Linked DNA regions of Drosophila melanogaster. The protein of the gene in region 1 interacts with the protein of each later gene in a pairwise test. Each region holds a gene or a part of one and is shown in the gene's direction. Other genes may lie near its edges.

Region 1 (3,966 bases):
CTACCAAATTTGTAGTATAAATACCAAGCAATAATGAAAATTCATAGCTTAGAAATAACTAACGGCCGAAGAACCGAGTTCACCACTGAGTGCCTATCGGATTCGATAATCACAACAAAAGGCAATCGGAGGCCGGCTACTATATTATATAGCCACCAGATACGATTCGTTACCAAACCGATCTCAACTCCCAGAAATGGGCCACTAATTGCTGCTGGAGCATAAATCAAAAGCCATGAACTTTGCACGCCTGAGATTCGGGCAGATGGTCCTTGGAGGACTTCGAATTCCGCGCCAGCAGACGCAGACGCAGTGGATGATGGACCGCCGCCGATGGTTGGCCAGTGAAGCCACCTCATCGGCTGCGGCGCCAGCTCAAGCAGCTTCTGTACCTAGAACTCAAACGCAACCGCGGGTAAAGCCATTGCCGCTAGCCGAGGAGCGCTTGGAGTCGATACTATCGCCCATTCGCACCAGGATCATTCGAAAGAAGCGCTTGGCCATCGATGAACTGTCCGCTTTGGGGTTTCTCAACACCCGTGGTTATACGACCGCCGAGGAGTACAATCTGGAGGATCTGCAGATAGCCCTCCGCGAACAGAACCTGTACGAGACGAAGCGTTTCTTCTCCACAGACAATCTGGACGTGGAGCAGAATGTGCTCTTTGTGGCGGCCAAATATCCGACGGGTCAGCAGCCGCGGGAGATATTCTTCTTCCGCGAGGGCTCGGTGGTCTTTTGGAACTGCAGCGACATCGAGACGAACAATGTGCTAAGTTTCCTGCGCGCCTTCGAAAGGGAATCGTATGTGAGTGCCCTGGTTCACGGGGAGAGCGAGGTGATGCCCTACACCTACATTCCATCGACGGCGGTGGATGTGGAGGGCGATCTGGTGGCGGAGAGCAGCGACTTCAATGTCACGTCACGGGCATTCTTCCAGAATGGCAAGTTCTTTGTTACCGCCGATACGGATAGTTTCCTGTATAAGTACACCTTCTCCAATGCGATGGCACAGTCAATAAAGCTGGGCATGTGGGAGGCGACACTGGACCGCTACATAGACTCCATAGAGCATCTCACCGAGGATCTAAAGCGTGGTCGCCGATTAAGAATCTCGCGGGCGGCCATGCTGCGAAAAACCGGTGAATTATTTGCCCTGCGTCATGTGATCAACCTGTCGTCGGATCTGCTGGATGCACCCGATTTCTACTGGGACCGCGAGGAACTGGAGGCACTCTACCTGCAGGTGTGCTCCTACTTCAGCATCTCACGGCGCACCAAGGTGATGAACGAGAAGATCAACCACTGCGTGGAACTGGCCGAGCTGGTGTCCCACAATCTGAACGATGCCCATCATATCCGGCTCGAGTGGATGATCATAATCCTGATCATGGTAGAGGTGGGCTTCGAAGTGCTGCACTTCGTCAGCGATCACAGTGATTCGCATAAGCTAGAGGTCCTGCCACTGGCTGCTCCTGCCGCCTCGATTCCCAATTAGCAAGTAGGCTTGGTCGATAGTTTTTTGTACTATATTTGTATTTTGACGAAATATAGAATTGTTAGCGTTCCAAAAGTTTGTTTGATCTGTGCTCTATTTTTTTTTTGTCCTTTTTAATTTGTTGTTGCCCGTTAAAAACACCAAACATTACGATTTTAAAATTCTCACTAGATCCAATTTAAAAAAATGGCTAGATTAATCGACAGCACTAAAGCAGACGAAGTGTCATTTCTTTTCCTCTGTCGAAAAATGCTATAGATCTACATCGAGAATATTATAATTTTATTGTATGTGTATTTGTATTTTGCTGAAATATAGAATTATTAGCATTCCAAAAAGTTGTTTCTTGTGTTTTCATTTTGTTTTTGTTTTCCTTATTTAATTTGATGTAGACCGTTAAAACACCAAAAATAACGATTTTAAAAATCTCGATAGATTGAACAAATTAATCGACAGCACTAGAACAGAAGAAGTGTTGTTTGTTGTCCTCTTCCGAAAAATGGTATAGATCTACGTTGAGGACGAAAAGGATGGCCAACGCTGTGGTGGTGTTGGACAACGGAGCGCATACGGCGAAAGTGGGCCTGGCCAATCAGGATGAGCCCCATGTGGTGCCCAACTGCATCATGAAAGCAAAGAGCGAGCGGCGACGCGCTTTTGTGGGAAATCAGATAGATGAATGCCGGGACACATCGGCGCTCTATTACATTCTGGCGTTCCAGCGCGGCTACCTGCTCAACTGGCACACACAGAAAACGGTGTGGGATTACATATTCAGCAAGGACGGCATTGGTTGTTCGCTGGAGAACCGCAATATTGTCATCACTGAGCCGCAGATGAACTTCCAGAGCATCCAGGAGGCAACGCTGGAGATTCTGTTTGAGGAGTACAAGGTTGATGGGGTGTACAAGACCACTGCTGCCGATCTGGCTGCCTTTAACTATGTGGCTGACAGCGAGGAGCGGACTACAATGGAATCGCTTAACTGCATCATCATCGATGTAGGCTACAGTTTCACCCACGTTGTTCCTTTTGTGCTGGGACGGCGCGTTCTCCAAGGCATACGACGCATCGACATGGGCGGGAAGGCGCTGACCAACCAGCTAAAGGAGCTAATCTCTTATCGCCACCTAAACGTCATGGACGAGAGTCATGTAGTTAACCAGATCAAGGAAGATGTCTGCTTTGTGGCGGAGGACTTCAAGCAGGCGATGCAGGTGCATTATTCGGAGGAGAAGCGACGCGAAGTCACAGTTGATTATGTCCTTCCAGACTTCACCACCGTCAAACGGGGCTATGTTCGTGTTCCCGGAAAGCCGCGCGAGGATGAGGAGCAACAGCAAATGGTGTCGCTGTGCAATGAACGTTTCACCGTGCCCGAGCTGCTCTTCAATCCCTCGGACATTGGTGTGCAACAGGTGGGCATTCCGGAAGCGGTGGCCGATTGTCTGAAGGCTTGCCCCTGGGAAGCGCACCGCGAACTCCTGCTCAACATCCTTATTGTGGGCGGCAGTGCCCAGTTTCCGGGATTTCTGCCGCGCCTAAAGCGCGATTTACGTGCCCTGGTGCCCGACGATCTTGAAGTGTCACTCATCTGTCCCGAGGATCCGGTGCGGTACGCGTGGTACGGCGGCAAGGAGGTTGCGACCAGCCCCAACTTTGAAGAGTTTGTTTACACGCAAGACGACTACGAGGAGTACGGTTTCCAGGGTATCAATCAGCGGTAACATGCACGTAGTCGAAGTATTTTTTCAATAATAAACTTGATTTGCACATGGGTTTTCTAGAACATTCCTTGTCTATATATTGAACTAGGGCTAAAGAGGACAAACTGCCAGCCTGCGGCAAGGAAGCGGGTGCGTCACTTACCTAGCGCTACAACTAAAATTTAACTATAGAACACAACTTAATATTTAGAATTCGTTTGCGAAGTAAAATTTACAAAGGATGCGGTGCTTTTGCCAACAACGTAATGAGATACAAGGTCGGGCCGCGTACTGCATTTAACTTAGTTAATTTAGGTCTGTCTGCGAGGCGGGTGCCGGCGGATCTCCTCCGGATCTCCATCGGTTTACATGCTGAACGATTCGCCGCAGCCGCATGTGCCCTTAATGTTCGGATTGTTAAACACGAACTCGCTGGACAGCTTCGATTCCACAAAGTCCATCTCGGTACCTGCAAGCGAATTATACTCTGTATTAGCTGGCTTGTCCAATGCTATGCTAAGCTGGTATGAACTTACCCAGCAGCGACAACTGCGCTTTCTTGTCGATGAAGACCTTGACGCCATCCTGGACCACCTCCTCATCCAACTTGTCTGCTGGCAAAAATCGACACAGAACGCAGCATTAGATCTCCACCGAACAACATTCTGTCCAGAGTGGCTTACCTTTTTGGCTGGCATAGTCCAGCGTGTAGGACAGACCATTGCATCCTCGCTGCCGTACGCCCACCTTTAGGCCAACCTG
Region 2 (7,732 bases), on another chromosome or scaffold:
GAGCTCTGTGCTTCTTCTTCTTCTTCGTTTTGCCCCTTCTTCTTCTACCTTCTGACAGATGTGTTTGCCATTCGATTGCTAGCAATCGCCTGTGAATGCCAAAAATTAATCGAGTGCCCAGGGGGCGCGCGAGTGTAAGTGGGTGTGGCCACGTCAAGTCAGCAAAGTAAACACATTTAAAAAATAAATAAAATAGTCCACTTTTCAAGCTAGAGAGCAACAAATTCGGCCTACTGCGCTTAGGGCATTCGATAATTCAGAGCCATTCGATAGACAGAGATGCCTATCGAGTAATCGATTACAGGAATGTCAACAAAGTGGAAATAAAATGAATATTTTACCAAAAAAACGGTAAGTTTTATACTGATTCTAAAGATACCTCTCATCAATTCACGTGTATTTCTTAGCTGGCATGTGCGTACCAAGGAGAACATTGCCCGCGTGCGCCGGGATCAAGCGGCTGCCGCAGCAGAAGAAAAAGTCCGGCAGGAGAAATTGGAATTTGCTGTGGGTATTGCCCAAATATCGTCAATTTAACATAGTAATGTGTACTTTTATCAAATAGGAAAGCGAGGCACGAATCAACTTCCTGCGCCGCCAATCGGGCTTGCCGGAGAAGGCCTCCAAGGAATCTCGAGAGGAGTCGCAATGCAGTACTGAAACAACCAAAGGGGTGGATCTCTTTGCCGACTACAAGGCGAGAGTGAAGACCACTAACAAAGACTTGGAAAAGGAGCAAAAGGAGGAGCAGGAGAAGTATGAGAAGCAGATCGGCTACCTCACCTACTTGGGCCAGGACACCAATGAAGCTTTGAAAGTGCGCAGCTGGTACGAGTTAGCCCCCAAAAGACCAGAAGTTGGGGATCCCACAGCTACTGAAACTCATCATAAGCAAAAGCTAGCCCACGATCCTCTGACCCTAATTAATGCTTTGTTGCCGCCAGAAAAAAAGGATCCCAAAAAGGCCACAAAAAGAATTCGCGAAAGGACACCCGCGCCTTCTCAGGAACCTTCAATACCCCACAAGGACAAGAAATCCAAGAAAGATAAGAAGAAGCACAAGAGCAAAAATGGTTCAAGGGAGACCCTTTTGGCCGAGGAACGCATAAAACGAGAAAAGCTCGAGACGCTAAGAAGGGAGCGCATGCGACGGGAAACAGCGGAACGCCAGCGTTCCGAGGCTCTGTTCGCACCCAAGGAGCTGCCGGTGGCTGCCAGTGCCGAATCCACGCCGGCTTCGACGCCTAAGGTTGTCCAAAAGTACAACAGTCAGTTTAATCCGGAGTTAGCAAAGCAAAATATGCTCTAGCCATTAATTATGTTTTCAACTTAATGTTAACAGCCTGATTATGAATATAATCACTAAGCAAATAAATAGAAATTACACTTTATTATTGAATTGTCTAAAAAAATACTCTTTGTTTAAATATAAAAATGATTATCGTCAAATATTTGTACTTTTATAAATACATACATATGTATAAACACATCGCTTTAATATCCAGTTATTCAACCGTTACAAGAAGTCTTGGCGGTTTGGTCATGGTTTAAATTTAGATTTCGCGATAATTCCGCTTAAATGATATCGGCTACTTTATCGGTGCCGAAACAGGCCAATGCTGCACAGCGTCTAAATCGGACGAACTATTAAGTGATTTTGCACTTAAAATAAGAAGATAGAAACCTAATTTCGAATAAAATTTAATTTAAGATAATTCATCAGTTGAAGGTGATATTAGGCTATCGACACATTGAATTTAGCCCCGAAACTATACTAGTTTGAATTCTAACGGCCGCCACACAAATGCTCAACAGCCGGCTGCAGTGTTAGAGAACGTCGCAGTTTGCGGCACATGTGAAAATCACTTTTTGGCTCGGCGTCTTGGCGTCTTCGTTTCTATTTCTTTGTTATAATTTGCATGCGGGTTCGAAACTCTCTTGATTTCAATTAATTGTTGTGTGCGAAAAACAAAAGAGCCGGGCCAAATGGATGATAATACGGAGAACACAGATGGAAAGCGCGGTGAGTGAATCTAAGCGTGCTGTGCTGAAAAAGCAACGGGACAAGTAAACCGGCGCTCCAAAGTCAGCCATTAACGGGGGGCTCCTATCTCAAGCAGGTCGCCTTTGCATTCGATCGAATAAAATTTATTCTTACACATTATTCATTTTTTCGTTTATCCGTTTAATCCAATAAATATGGTAGTGACCCGGGCTAGAACTCGTCGCTTGTCCCTTCTGGAAACGGACAGTCGTCCGAGCACTCCGCAGTTGGATACGGTTGCGGAACTCGGTAAGTTGTGGCCCAACTCGGATCCCGGTTGTTTCAAGTCTAAGAATATTATTTCTCGCTTCAAAAGGTACCGCTTCGCCACGTGCCACACGTCGCACACGTCTGAACTCGTCCACTTTAGATGTGAGGACTCCAACACGAACCAGGCGCGCATCCTTGGCACGCGGTGAAACTCCCGAGCCGACGACGCCCTCTTCCGTGAAAAGGACAGCTCGCACGCCAGCTAAAAACACCAGATCTGTGCGCCAACAGCTTACACTAACAGAGGAACCTGAGGAAAATGAGGTCAAGCAGGAAAAGCCCAGCCCCAGTCCAAGCCCTGTGCCCAAAGAGGGCAAGGGAAAGGCACAGCGGAAGCCCAGTGTCAGTCCGAGTCCAGGGCGAACACTCACACCCAATCAGCAGAGTGATGAGAAACGAGTGACGCGTTCAATGTCTCAGACTCCACCAATGCCCACTCGTTCGTCCAGTAATACGCCTCGTGATCTTAACGATTCACCCAAAGTTGAGCAAAAAGCTAAACCCAATATTAAAACCACTCCCAAAGTGGCAGTCAGGCTCGAGAAACTTTCAATGGACAAATTCTCTGGCAAGAAGATGGAAAAGGCGAAGCCATTGATTGTACCGGATGAACTCAAGGATAATGGAGTTGTTGAGGAGCAAAATAAATCTATCACTGAAGCCCATTCACAGGCACCAGAAACACACGAATCAGCCCAACCTGACAAGGATGCTGGCAAACAATCATTCCTGAAGTCATTTACTACACTTTCGAAAATTCAAGGTTCAAGTAAAGCTCTTCACCCTGATGAGAGCGCAGATACAATTACAAAAATAACTCCAACCTCGACATCCAAGAAAATTGAAGAAAACATGGATGATGTGTTTGAAACACTACGCGTCGAGTCCCCCAAAGTTGAAAGAAAAATCGAGACTCTGCAGAAAGTCCATACTGTTGGCACTCCTGAAATTAAAGAAAAAGACGAGCCCGTTGGGGTAGACAATGAAATTAAAACGAAAACCGAAACTCCCCAGAAGATTGAACCCCCTATAATTGAAAGCAAAGTAGAAACTCAGCAACTGATTGATCATCCTCAAATAGAAAAGAAAAGAGATACTCCACAAAACGTTTCTACTGTTGACTTAATGGACACAAGCCCAGAAAAAGATGAGTCCATGGAGGACCAAGAGTTTTTGGATGCAGAAGATTCGATTGTTCAGTTAGAGCCACAAACCGATGAGCCAGTAGAGAAACCAAAAGAACTGGAGTTTGTAGACCTCGACGACGATGAGCCGGTATTTCCGTCGGAAGCTCCAAAATATGTCGAAGACAGTAAGGAAGTACACCCAGATGATTCAATGGATGATGACAAGCAAAACAAAATCGATGTTACCGAGGTTATACATCTGCCCAGCATAAGAGCTCGTGCTGTGCGTTCTCCTGCTGTGGAGCAAAAAAAATCGGTGGACTTCAACAACGACACTGATGACTTAGAGGTAGAAAAGAAACGGTTTCCCAAGACTCCAGGACGTGAGAAGGTGCCAGTTTGTCGCATTCTAACCCCCAAGCCGGAGACGCCCTTAAAACTGGCTCTGCAAAAGGGTCGTAATAGTTCCACACCAATATTAAAAGATCAGGAACGTGGCCTGTCCAACAGCACGGAGGAATTGCATCCAGCACCTCCTCAAATTGATGCTATCAAGCCATTCGATGAGCTGGAATCAAAGAATGCTAAGGATGAGATGGTGGAACAATCACCCATGTCAAAGCAAAAGGCTGAGAATAAAATCCTGGCTCGTCTAGAAAGCTTTGAGGAAGATGTTGAAGACCACGGGAATGAAGAAGAAAACGAGGAGGAGCACGAAGAAGACAAATCCATTTCCGAATTTGTGGACCTAGAAGCTGAAGATGCTGGGAAAGATTACATGTCTGGAGATTCGATGGACAGTTCGCTTCGCCGGGAAATGGAGGAGAATGAAATTCCAATCGATGGGGAGTCCGTTGGCAGTAAAGATACTGAGGAGTCTACCCCAGAAGAATCTGATGGCGACGATTCGTTTATTGTATCGGACAACGAAGACGAGGAAGATTTAGGACAGCTTTGCTACTCCTCTGGCGAGGATGAAATTGAAGACGCTGAAGAATCTGAACAAGCTGAGAGGTCTAGCGTGAAACGTCGCCGCATTATTATTGCGAGCCCCAGTGATGAAGAACATGATGGAAAAGTTCAGAGCAATGACGACTCAAGTGAGAACAAAACAGAGAAGCCCAAAAACCAAAGTAACTGCTCATCCAATGCCAGTAAATTGAGCGAAGCGGCCCAACTGTTAAACGTCAGTGAGGAAAAATCTTCCATCTCGGAAACCGAGCTGGAAAGATCTCGCCAAGTCGCTCTCAACGAACTGAACAAATCGGAGCGGTTTAACAAGACAGAAACGCAACTCGATATCAGCGTCATGGAGGTAGACTCCTCGGATCACGACGAGGAGGAGAAGACAGAGAAGGTTGGAGCCAAGAACAACAGAAGCCTGTACGAAATCGTGGATTCTGATGACGGGGAAGAGCAAGATCAAGACCAAAGTGATGCAGATAAACCAGCTGAAAGCGAAAACCATTCCGAAATTAAAAAATCTACATCTTTCATGGACCAAATGTCTGGAGCCAAAGGCAACAAAAGCGTATACGAAATAATGGATTCTTATGAAACTGAAGACCCTAAGGAGGCTGGTAAAAACGAGGAGTCTGATAAGGACAAACCGGCCGAAAACGGGAAGTCTGATAAAGACAAACAAGCCGAAACCGAGATGTCTGATGAAGATAAACCATCTGAAATCAAAAGCCCTTCCACAATCAAAAAATCCATAATTTCAACTGCGGATGAAGAAGCTCTGCTCGCCGAATTGGCCTCTAGTGATCTAAGCCATTTGGAAAAAATGTTTAACCCTCTACAGAAATCCCGCCGCCAGTCCTTACATGTCCCCAGTCCCGAGCTGGCAGCCAAGAATCCCAAACTGAGACGCCGTAGTGAACGGGTTGAAGTTGGCAATGACTTCTGCCCCTCGCAGTCCTTTGTTGACATGGTGGCCGAGAAAAAGAGGCAGAAAAACAAGCGCAAGCGCCTGTCGAAAAGCCTATCAGGCGCACCAGAGGATCTTGAGGAAATGGAGATTAAGCACGAGCGCAAGCGCCTTAAGAGCTCACATGGTGCTTCCACGGATTCAATGGAGGAGGACAACGAAAACGAAACAATGACTGTCGCCGAGGAACATCACAGCGACGGGGAAGTCTCGAATGGTGAAGTTCCTATTGAAGAAAAGCCCACTACTTCATCTGAGAAACCATCTGCGTCGGAATTACCTGAAGAAGAAGAAACTGTCGCCGTTGAGGAGCTTCTCATGGAGAAGCCGAAAACTTGCGATTCACCGCGATCCGAGGAAAGACCGACAGAAATTGTGACTTCAAAACCGAAGGGTATGGCGCCGGTCAAGGTGGAGAAGACTGCCGAATATTACTTGGCATACTGTCACAACCTCCTGGAAGCTGCCAACGAGGCTAAGTTAAAGGAAAAGAAAGAGGTCAGTTTCTTAAATAAAAAATCTCCTTTACGATTCACACTAAATTCGCTTATATTTTATAGCATCTTGCCAGCGGAGCAAAGCAAAAGAAGCCAAAGCGAATTGCTGCGCAAGCGCCATCCAAGCTCCTGGGCACCATCGGCTCAGAATCGGAAACCAACACAGCGAAATCGTCCAAGCAGCCACCGGCGCTGAAGAAGGATGTAAAGCGCCTACAGGCAGCGCGCCAGGCTGTGAGTCATGCTGTTAATCTTCTGGCGCCACCAAAAGCCACCGAAGCAGAGGTAAGCGTTAGTTAGTCGCCTACAAATAATAAGAGTATAACCAAAAGTCCTTGCTCCTCCGCAGCCACGCACGCTCTCGCGCAAATTGTCGCCACAGCCGCCAGTGGTGGACAAGAAATCAGCCAAACAGAAGAAGGGGAAGAAGAAGCAAAAGCCCCAGGAGGCATCACCGCTAAAGAGTTCCGATGAGGAGAACCACGGCCATCGTATTCGAACAAATGCTGGCTACGTGACGGTGGTCGATGAGCCGCCCACTAAAGTTCCCAAAATCGAGCTGATTAAGACAAGTTCGGGCATGGTTCGAGTTGAGCCGTGCACACCCAAACAGAAGTATTTCCGCGAGCTGCCGCCCACACCGAAAATGCATGGGTTCCGCGAGGAGCCAGGACCCTCCGGGATGTCAAGGAAGCGGGCCAAGCACGCAGCACCAAAGGTCGAACACAATTCCGCCAAACAGGCGGCGCTGCGCTTCAAGGAGCAGATCTTTGCTCGCAGATCTTAGGATACATTACATTTAGAGAAAAATTAGTGGAAATGTTAAGTGTACACAATGCATACTTCAGTTTTTGTTTCTTTTCATTAGCATTTCCCCGATTGAATTTGATTCTATTATTTGTTCTATTGGTTATTTGTTACGCAAGCCCTTGCTCTTTGCCATATATTATTATTTTGTTCAATTGCACATCACTTAACCACACTTAACGCTAGCAAGTTGGTTGTTGATCCAATCAAGATATGAAATCAATTAAGAAATTTTCGAACTTGTCCCCTTTTTTTTTGAGCATCTGAGAAACAGAAAATAAAGCCTACCCATACAAATACAAAATGAAGGAGGAAACTTTTTATTACGGGTCCGAACATTCGGGGACAATTCTCTGGAAAAGTAGGCTGGCGGTTGCCTGTCCGTCATGTTGCACAAAACTTTTCATATTTTTTCACATATGGCTCACCATTTCGCAATGCGAACAATTTGTAAGTAAAATGCTATTCTATTCTCAAGATTTAGTATCCTATTTCGATTTTTGCTTTTAGTCAATGCAAAAATTGGCGATGCAGCCTACATCCAGGATGAACTGTCTTCGTCGCTATCCTCTTCTGTGGCCAGCAAATTCAAAGAATTTTCGAAGCGCAAACGCATTTCGGACAGTTTCTCGGATCTTTCAGAAGAACTTGAGAGAATAGGTTTGCGACAGATGAGGAAACGCATTAAGTTGGAGAAATCGTTCGAAAGAACTCCCAAAAAGAAGGTCCAGACCAAGAAGCATTTACCACCGGTTCGGAAGAAGGATAGCGTGAAACGTCGCCGCATTATTATAGCGAGCCCCAGTGATGAAGAACATGATGGAAAAGTTCAGACCAATGACGACTCAAGTGAGAACAAAACAGAGAAGCCCAAAAACCAAAGTAACTGCTCATCCAATGCCAGTAAATTGAGCGAAGCGGCCCAACTGTTAAACGTCAGTGAGGAAAAATCTTCCATCTCGGAAACCGAGCTGGAAAGATCTCGCCAAGTCGCTCTCAACGAACTGAACAAATCGGAGCGGTTTAACAAGACAGAAACGCAACTCGATATCAGCGT
Region 3 (4,452 bases), on another chromosome or scaffold:
CCACCGGAAGTGGCGTCTTCAGCAGCTGAACACACTCTTCATCCTGGCCACGAAGATCACGCTCCAGGACGCACAGCTCACCGCTGCTGCTGCAATCGCTGCATCCGCTGTTGATTAAGCTGCAGATCGAATGGGAGTCGAAGGTGGAGTCGGAGGTGGAGTCGTTGATGTCGCTGGTAAACACCTGACAGCTGTAGATGCCGGAGTCAATGTCGAAGGCGTCGTTGATTCGCAGGCAGAGGCGTCCATTGCCGTGATCAATGTAACTGCAGTGAGCAATGAAAGTGCCATAAGTATGTGGATAGTTCGAAACAAAGGGAAACCATTCGCTTTTATTATTCAATCCAAGCTAATCGCTGGAAATTGGGTGCTTATAAAAAACTGAGCAATTTAACAATGTTTTTATAACTAATTATGTATTCAAGTTATTACAACTCAATATATTTCAATGAACTAAAGATTTATACTCACTTGAACTCATCGCTGTCTGGCAGAATCTCGCCATTTCGCAACCAAACGTAGCTGTAGGGTTCATCGCATTCGATGGAGCAGCACAGATCGATCACCTCGCCCTCCAGCGATTTAGTAATCTCGGGCAGTCGTTCCGTGATGACAGCACGACGCCTGCGAATCTCCGTATTCGAGTCGTGGAAGGTGACGGTGGTGGAAGTGATGAGGGGATCGTGGTCGCCGCTTATGATGCAGGTGTACTGGCCTTCATCCTCGCGCGTCACATTGTCCACTATGAGCAGGGCCATCGAGTCCTGCAGCAGGATGTGAACTCGTTCCGAGGCCTCGAGCTCCACGTCGTTGTGATAGAATCTCACCGAGGGCACCGACGAACCCCGATAGCCACTTGCCAGAGCCATGCGTCCGCCAATTGCTGTGGGTGGCATGGTATCAATTGAAATAGTTAAGCTGTAAATTGGGCAAGGAGCAGCACCCACCTGTGGATGGACCCATGATGCGCCTGTACAAGTGGGCATTACGGCGGGAGGAGGAGGCACGCACGCTGCGCACCGAAGGCGACTTGGAGTAGCGGGAGCTGCGGATGACGTCCAAGCGAGCGGTGGCCTCAATACGACCGAAATCGTTCTCCAGCGTGACGCGATACAGGCCGGCATCGTCGAAGGTCACCTCATCGATCTCTATGATGCGAAGGTCATCGATTTCCTTGACGGCAATGCGCGGCGTGGGTGTCACAATCAGGCCATCCTTGTCCCATGTCGCCCACGGTGTGGGATGTCCGGAGATGGCGCACTGGAAGCGCACACTGTCGCCCTCCTCGACGACGCGATTGTAGGGAATGGCGAGAAACTTTGGCGCCGTGATGGCATTCCGGGCATCACTACGCCTGCGTTCCGCCACGCCGGACAGATCGATGCTGCTGGTGCGGTACGATAGGCGCAGGGGAGAGAAACTTCTGGCGGGCGTGGATCTCGGCGTAGAACGGGGCGTGGAGTGGGCGGAGAGCAGGCCACTGGGACGCGCTAGCTGGCGGCTGAGCATATTCTCCTTCTCCTCGGGCACATCCACTATAATGCAGGCGGAAGAGAGACTGCGACCCACCGAGTTCTTGGCCACGCACGTGTACTCGCCCTCATCCTCTGGATATACGCGCGGTATGCTCAGCGTTGCCTTGGTTCCATCGAAAGACATCACGTAGTCCCGATCGCTGGGCATAACATGCCCATCCTTTTCCCAGATGATGAACGGCTCCGGATCGGCCTCAACGTGACATTCCAGCGATATCGCATCCCCATCGCAACAGCGGAGGTTTCGCAAGTTGCGAACGAATCGGGGAAGGGTCTCGATGTTGCTGATTAATTGTTAAAGCTTGTTAATGACAACATATCTTGATAATAAGCTTGAACTTACCCATGTCTCGTGTGCACTTTATCCATGCGGCTTTTGTTGAGTATATCTATTGAAAAAAAGATATTATGCATTAGCACTTTGACTTAGTAAAAAAATATTGCATTTCGAAATTGGCGCCCATTAAACTGCTTGCCAAGCAGTGGTGATTAGTGTCTTGGCTATTTTTGTCAGATTCTTGCAAGAGTGCGAATATATCGATAATCGATAGCAGCTGTGGCCCAATGTTTATTTTTAGCACACCATCTAATTTTCTACTTCTTGTACTCAAATTTTGGTTAAAACAAAATGAGGGGCATGATAATTGTGCCCATGGACCTGGAACCCGGCTTCCGCAAAGCAGACATACACAATATACCCGCTTTGAACAGCGGAATGGTGTACAATTTTTGTCTATCCGGCGCATCTGAGAAATCAAAACAAATGTGAGTGCCATCCCGTTCGCACATATACCTACTGTGTATTCTATTAAAAATTGAATTTTTGCCAACAGACCAACGAATAGATGTGATCTCCTCACGGATTACGTCCAGGTGCGCAGACATGGCGACGTGTGCGAACTCAAGGGACTCGTGTTTTCTGCCACCGACTTCGCCAACACGGTAACTCACGCCAATGTATCGCTTAAGATCGTCGAAAGTGCTCAGATGATCATGGACGGTCAATGCAGCCTGTGCACTGCAGCATGTGAGAATGACTCCATTTGCCACTAATGTCTAGTTCCTAATCTTTAGTACATTACAGGTACTTGTGCCCACATCGTGGCCTTCACCTTCTGGCTGCTAAACAAGAGCACAGATCGAAATCCCTCGGCTGTGGTGGAGTTTTGGGGCCACGAGTTGGAAAATCTGGTGCAACCGGAGCCCACAACTGCTACTCGAATATGTGATATAATTCCCAAGGATGATGTGCGAATGGAAAGCGAACTAAACTCGAAAGAACTTAGCGCCAGCGAGGGAGAGGCTTTCCTAGTGACCATTCTGAATGAACTGGCCGACTGTGGCAGGGACTCGGCGCTCTACCGGCAATGTGTGGAGACCACCGATGAGTTCGAGCCCATGTTCGTACACCATGTGCTGCTCCGAGCAAATGAGTACAATGTCGTCGATCCGTCCAGCTATGTGCAACACATGGAGGCACAGGCACATACGGGTATTATCGAAAGTCTGTACGAGGCAACGCGAAGCAAATACAAATCCCGATTGTGGGTGGAGGTACAGTATATGCGCATCCGTTGCTCCATGATGCACATGATCATAAGCCGCAAAACCTCTGATGATGACGATCAAATCTTCAATATGATGTTTTGCAGAGGACGTGACAAGAATAACGAGGATCGGGTGCAGCAGAAGGAGCACAAGCGCTTCATATTGAAACAGACTGAGAAGCTGGAGAACAAGAACTACTTAGAATGCGGTCTGATCCTGCACGAGAACTTCCCCTTCCTGTGCGCCGCCCCTGATGGCATCACGGACGATCACATTGTCGAAATCAAATCACCAAAGACTGACGAGGACTTCGAGAAGTACCTCGAGGCACGCGAATCTATTGCACCCAAGTACATGGCCCAAATACAAATCCAGATGTTTGCGGCGAATGTTAAAAAGGCGCTCTACTGCGTGCTAAGTCCCACGTTCGAGAGCAACGGAGCACTACACTACGTTTGGGTACAAGCGGATCCGGAATTCGTTAGCAGTTTGCTGAGCATGGCTGAAGACTTCTGGCGGGACGTTGTCTTTCCCCGCCTATTGAATATCTACCCCCAGTGCCCAGGTCAATAAATACATACACATTCACTGTGCTGCTTACCTTTGGCGAATATTTGTAGCGATATTACAGCCTTGGCCTCGCCATGGCAATTGCTGGCTATCACGGAATAGGTGCCGGTGAAATCCAATTTGGCGCTGGGTATCTCCAGCCTGTACTCGGGTCCGTCTCCAATTCGCCGGAAGTGTGGCGCGTCCTTGTAGTACTCCGGCTGCGGGCGAAAGAAAATGTTCGGCGATCAGTGGGTCGAATTGCTCAAGGTCACGTCGCGATGTGCTTGGACTATAAGGACTTGTTGTGCGGCTGTCGCAGATCATGAATCACGACTGTCTTTATACAAATGTCGATGCCGTTGACGCTGACTCGACCGACGTTGTTATTATTGTGTTAAGCTTATGGCCATATAAGCACAAAATTCAGTTTCGAGACTGTCGAATAGGAAAACTGGTAATGGGTATACGTTGCCCACCCTGACCTCCTACTCCTCCTGCCTGCCTGCCTGCCTGCTCGCTCGCTTCCTTGGTCGACTTCGTGCGCGACAGTGGCTAATAATATTTTTTTGTGTATTTTTTTCCTTTTTGGCTCGCGTAATTGTTTGTTGTGCGAACAAGCCTGTTATTTGATATGGGTTGAACTTGAATTAGCGTTTGACAGCGAATCGGATTTGTAAGATCTGTCTGAGTGGCCAGTGGTCTTGTATAACGCCGTTGCACCATTTCAGTATGACGCACTTGTCCGTAATCCGAGCCAGTTGGGGCAGCACCCTATTCACTCTATTCTTCACGTGCTTTTGTAGCCACTTTGCTGACG
Region 4 (5,203 bases), on another chromosome or scaffold:
GCGAGCTCCTGCCTCGGGGAATCTCAAAAAGCGACTAACTAAAGTCGCAAAGTTTTGCCGATCAACGGAATTCGATTGTCAATAGCTATTGACAGATATGTCGGTTTGGCGGTGGAATGGCTAGAAAGTCAGATACGGAGCTATTGTGCAGCTCCATTCGCGACTGGGTGGCAACTCCCGCACATTGTTTTCATTTGCGATTGCAAACAAAATTTAATATTACTTGTATTCGAAACAATTAAGCTGAGAAATCATCATGTAAGTCTGCGTTATTATCCTCCGGCTTTGCCATAGCTAACTCTCGATTCCAACAGGACGGAGTACTGGAAATCAAACGAGCGCAAGTTCTGCGACTTCTGCAAATGCTGGCTGAGCGACAACAAGGCGGTGAGTCCATAGAATAAACTCGCTTTTCGGCACTCTAATGACCCCTAATCCCGCAGAGCGTCGCCTTCCACGAGAGTGGCAAGCGGCACAAGATGAATGTGGCCAAGCGGATCACGGACATCAGTCGCAACAGCGAGAAATCGGAGCGGGAGCGCCAGAAAATGGACGCGGAGATCCGCAAGATGGAGGAGGCGGCCATGAAGTCGTACGCACAGGATGTCCATTCGCGCGGTGACATGACCGCCAGGTCCATTAACACGGTAATGAGGGCCACCGCCACTGCTGCCGCCTCAGGCGGAGCTCACTCCTTCGCCGGAAGATCACGCCAAGTGGACCCCATGCGCCTGGAAGGATTGTCCGACGAAGAAGAAGACCAGAGGCGGGTGGCTCCCGGCAAGGTAACAAGCGACGCAGCCGTGCCCGAGGCATCCCTCTGGGTGGAGGGCAAGTCGGACGAGGGACACACCTACTATTGGAACGTGAAGACCAATGAATCCGTGTGGAAGCCGCCGAAAGAGGGCTATCTGTCCTACGAGGAGTACGAGCGCATCAACCAGCTGGCCATCGACCAGCAGCAGATCTCCCAGGCCGAGGAATCGCTGAAATTCCGCGCCAATGTCGACGAGGAAGTGGCGAGGGTGAACCGAGAGAAGATGAAAGCCTTCCGCAGGACGGACAATCCCAAGGAAAAGAAGCAGAAGGAGGAGAGGCGTCAGACATTCAAAACGGAGGAAGAGGCGGCCACCAAAGAGATTGGACAGTGGCAAACTGTGGAAGTGAAGTAGGGCCTTCCTACTAGGTTCAAATGCATTTACTGATAAATTTATGGATTTTTGTAGAGCACCTGAGCAGCCCATCGACTGGCAGCTACCCAAAACGGATTACTACAGTGCTGCGCCCGTGGTTTCCGCCTCGAGTGAACCAGAACCTCCAGTCAAGAAGTTCAAGGAAAAGACGATTGGCGGTCTGGATGAGGAGATAGCCGCCACTGCGCCCGCCACGTTCAAGCGGAAATTCATCAGGAAGGGAAACAGCCGCCAGCGCGCCGAGGATTAAGAAGTACTCCATGTGCTTATGTGCATATTTCACCTACTAGTTAGGTTTAGGCATAGGAAATGTTTAGGTTTTTAAGTGTTTGCTTATACCAATTAAAAAGTGAGATGCGTTTAACTAATATTAGATTAAACATAGCTATTGTAGAATTATTATTATCTTTAGTCGACTTGCATTCAATAAATATTTCCCAACATTTTAAATAGTAATATGTTTTTTAAAAAGTTTTAAATTTCGATAACAGTTATCGAATTAGGTTCAATCGGTGTGTGTCTGTGCTTTAGTTGCGGCATATTTAGGTCTTAGAGCTCCGTCCAATTTTAGTGCATTTCCAGCGGCAACACGAGGTATGTTTCTCCCGTCCGCCAACGGTCACTCTGCTGCTGTTGTTGTAGGCGAGCGGTCGGAATTTGCGTCGGAATTGTGTTGAGTCGAGTCGCGCTATTTTGTTTCGAGTGCGCTGTGCTGTTTGGTTTCGTTCCGTTTCGTTTCGCTGTTCGTTTTCCACTCGTCTTCGAATCCGCACTGCAAACAAACAAGGAGAAGGGGAAGCAGCAAAAGTGGCGAGTGCATTCGCAGCGTCGAAATTTCAATTGAAATCTGAAATCTGTGTGGCAATTGCAGCGGCACTCGGTGTAAATAGATTGAATTGAAGCGAAATTCTGCGAGTCGAAGAAGTGAAAAGTAAACAATAACACGGGCAATCGGAAAAGTGGTTTTCGATAAATCGCACCGCACACACACACCTGTCAGTGTGAGTGTCAAAGTGAGTGTGTGAGTGTGCGTCGAAGGAGAGGAAAGGTCAAGCCAAAAATTGCGTAAAGAAAAGGAAAGGAAAGCTTAGAAGAGGGGAAGGGGAATTACGTCAGTTTCGCATTCCCGATAAAAATTTTTGATTCCCTAAACGATCCTGATAGCCAGCCATTACGATAGGCAAAAAACGATAACAGCGGAAATTTACGTCAATTTGGAGCAGAAAGTAAACGATACCAATTCCCGAAAGAATTCAAAAAATCAGGCAAGATTCAGTTCGTGTACGCTTACAACAGCTCCGCGCCCCACGCCGCCTCCTCCTACCGCACCGCCGTCGCCCCCTTTGCGCCCTACGCGGCCGAGCGGTCCACCCACCACCACCCACTCCCGCCCCCCGAGGAGCGGCTGCCCTCGGACACCGAGCAGCTAGCTGGATCCGACGAGGATCGGGCTCAGAGCCACGAAGCGGAAGCGGAGGAATCCGAGGAGGAGCGCGCAGGTAGCGGACCCTCCGTCAGGCCGCTCATCGCAGCAGCAGGAGCAACAACAACGACAACGTCGACGTCAGTAGTACCGGAAGCGGTACAAAGGGCGGCGGCCAAGGGAGCGACAGAGACGGCGACAATGGCGGTGGTGCGCAAGAAACAGGACGACAAGTACCTGCTCGCCCTGCGGGAACTAGTGGCCAGCGGGACGGGGAGCAATCGGCAGTGCTTCGACTGCGGCCAAAAAGGACCAACCTACGTGAACATGACCATCGGATCCTTTGTCTGCACCCGCTGCTCCGGAGTCCTGTAAGTATTTGCCTTCTTGTTGTTGTTTTCTAGTCTGGGATAATGTAGGGTAGATCCAGGAATTAGGCATAAGTCGCCTGCTAGGTGACCTTTGTTATGAGAATGTAACTGTAACTTGGCTATTCATATTTTAGTTATTTCTTTGGTTGTCTCTTTGAGTTTACCAGGTATTCAAGATACCTCTGGAAAATATTTCAAACAATTTCCGATGCACAGATTGATCTAGCTTGAGATTTGTAGAATAAGGATGGTGGGTTATGAACTGACAAATCTCTTAAAATCTTCCACAAGAAGAATCCAGATATACGACATTTATGGTTATGGCTTTCTTGAATGGCTTTTGGTTGAATTCACACATGTTTTTTATCAAAAAGCTGGCTACCTATATACATATTCTGATAACTGCCAAATGGGCTACCCCCACTGCGTTTAGGAGTCATATAAAATATTGCCTTGAGTGTTTCCAAAAATAGAAATGCAAATTGAGAGCTATCAACGTCGATCCGTGGACCTTTCTTGGTCTCCCGTGTTATCTTGACTTGAACCCAGCCAATTTGAACTCGCCTGACGTCCATTTGGGATCTGTGCCCGAGTGGAGTGACCGATAATTTGCGATCGATCGATGCAATGTCCGATCCCGCCCCCCATTATTATTTCGTATTGTGTGTGAAAGCGAAAGCAATTCCCCAACAATTTCGAACAATTTCGCACAATTTGGCTTCCTTTCCTTTTTGAATGCAAATGCAAATCGAAGACAAAACTTTCAATTGCGCGACATCGCGGCGAACGAAATTGTTTTGTCTTCGCCGGCGTCGCTTTCTATTCGTGTTTTTCCGTGGGGAGACGTTTTCGAGAGCCGCCCACCTGGCGGTTGAGTTGTGGGTGTCCTTGGCGCCCCTCAGTTTATTTTTTATTTTTGCCCCTCTAAGTAATTTGGCAAATTGGCTTTGATTTGTGAGCACTATGGCCAAATTGGGGTCATATATGTATTACCACTCCGCCGACACTGCATTTCATTTGATTTACGCATTTCCGGATCAAGCACATTACATGATTGCTCTTAAACTTCCGCTTGGCCCAGGTCCAGAAGCCCAGTCTCCCACGATTCGTGTGCCCCAGATTGTGGCCTCTCAATTGGACAGCATGCGGGTTTCTCCGCTGAGTTATCTCTATCATCGGAACCAGGTTGAAAAGTAGCCAACTGCAATGCGTTCGCCCTGCTGCACTCTGCAGTCCCCAACTCTTGTTTCGATGACTCATTGCCCATTCCTCAGTCTTCGGTGTGCGGTGCTCAATCCTCAATCCTTAGTCCTCAAACCTTGTTGCCAACTGCCAAGGGAAACAAATGTTGGCATGTAAATGAAAAGCCACATAAATGCCGGGGACACCAAGCGATTGCACTGCGAGAAAGGGTTAATGGTTAATTGTAACAAACAATTGGTCCTGTTAGTCGGATACTTCTGCGGTTTTTCAGTTACTAGTCTAACGACGTGCCACGTTTCTGCCGGTGTAGCCAAAAAGGGGTGTGGAAAGGTACTGCAGCAAATGGGGGACTCGGCCGAGGAAGGGGGCGTGGCAGGGGCGACAGCAGGCGACAACGAACTTCCTGGCTGAAAATGAGACTGGAACGTCGACTGCGACAAGGGAGCGAGTGCAGGGAATACCAAATGAAACCAACTCCTCCGACTCACGAAGAAATGGCTGTGCATGTTCGGCCCGCCTTTGGATATTGGAATCCGCTGCAGACCGGCCGGTCACTTGGAGCGCTTAATGGAGGAAGCGGTTCAGGAATGAGAATGGAACTGGCAATGGTAGTGGGTTTCAGAATGGGAATGTCCGCGGTGGCGCGGGGAGGAAAACCCGTCCGACGGCTTTTGCCAGCCACACTCGGTTGTATTTTTGGGCCGAAGTTGCTGCTGCTGTTGCGCCTCCAATTGCAGACAAATTGTTGCACCTCAATCAAGCAGCAGTCGCCGCCATCTGCTGCCACACCGCATTTCGGTTGCTTTGTTTTTTTTTTGTTTTTGTTTTATTTTACTCTTTGGCTTTTGCAGGGTTCAAAGCTTGTGCTGGCTCATAAAAGTCAAGAAACTTGTTGATTAGATAAGGCGAAAGCAAACGGCCATTGGGAGCAGAGCTGAGCAGAGCAGAGCGGAGCAGCAATGGTGAGCCACTTTCTCAGGCTTCGTCATCATTCCCACCGCACACAACACACT

What was found.
Region 2: the proteins of Arp6 (region 1) and sle interact in a two-hybrid assay, tested with the Drosophila melanogaster proteins (one large-scale study listed by BioGRID).
Region 3: the proteins of Arp6 (region 1) and CG8366 interact in a two-hybrid assay, tested with the Drosophila melanogaster proteins (one large-scale study listed by BioGRID).
Region 4: the proteins of Arp6 (region 1) and drongo interact in a two-hybrid assay, tested with the Drosophila melanogaster proteins (one large-scale study listed by BioGRID).

Annotation. Positions count from the first base shown.
Region 1 is NC_004354.4:15,735,096-15,739,061, reverse strand, and holds Arp6 (Actin-related protein 6), read left to right. Parts: upstream 1-1,941; 5' UTR 1,942-2,028; coding exon 2,029-3,225; 3' UTR 3,226-3,288; downstream 3,289-3,966. Other genes in the region: CG11679 (uncharacterized protein), read left to right, coding at 236-1,498; MagR (magnetic receptor), read right to left, coding at 3,570-3,673, 3,741-3,818, 3,888-3,963.
Region 2 is NT_033777.3:10,331,291-10,339,022, forward strand, and holds sle (slender lobes), read left to right. Parts: upstream 1-1,824; 5' UTR 1,825-1,986; coding exon 1,987-2,023; intron 2,024-2,106; exon of another isoform or gene 2,107-2,199; coding exon of another isoform or gene 2,200-2,206; coding exon 2,207-2,293; intron 2,294-2,360; coding exon 2,361-5,869; intron 5,870-5,931; coding exon 5,932-6,153; intron 6,154-6,217; coding exon 6,218-6,655; 3' UTR 6,656-6,975; downstream 6,976-7,732. Other genes in the region: CG12818 (uncharacterized protein), read left to right, coding at 329-351, 408-507, 566-1,309; CG12592 (uncharacterized protein), read left to right, coding at 7,113-7,125, 7,186-7,732.
Region 3 is NT_033778.4:15,952,955-15,957,406, forward strand, and holds CG8366 (uncharacterized protein), read left to right. Parts: upstream 1-2,085; 5' UTR 2,086-2,163; coding exon 2,164-2,300; intron 2,301-2,368; coding exon 2,369-2,562; intron 2,563-2,619; coding exon 2,620-3,656; 3' UTR 3,657-3,682; downstream 3,683-4,452. Other genes in the region: Strn-Mlck (Stretchin-Mlck), read right to left, coding at 1-266, 472-883, 948-1,819, 1,879-1,924, 3,685-3,853.
Region 4 is NT_033779.5:847,683-852,885, reverse strand, and holds the start of drongo (drongo), read left to right. Parts: upstream 1-1,814; 5' UTR 1,815-2,817; coding exon 2,818-2,987; intron 2,988-5,203. Other genes in the region: CG4291 (uncharacterized protein), read left to right, coding at 257-258, 315-387, 444-1,168, 1,227-1,443.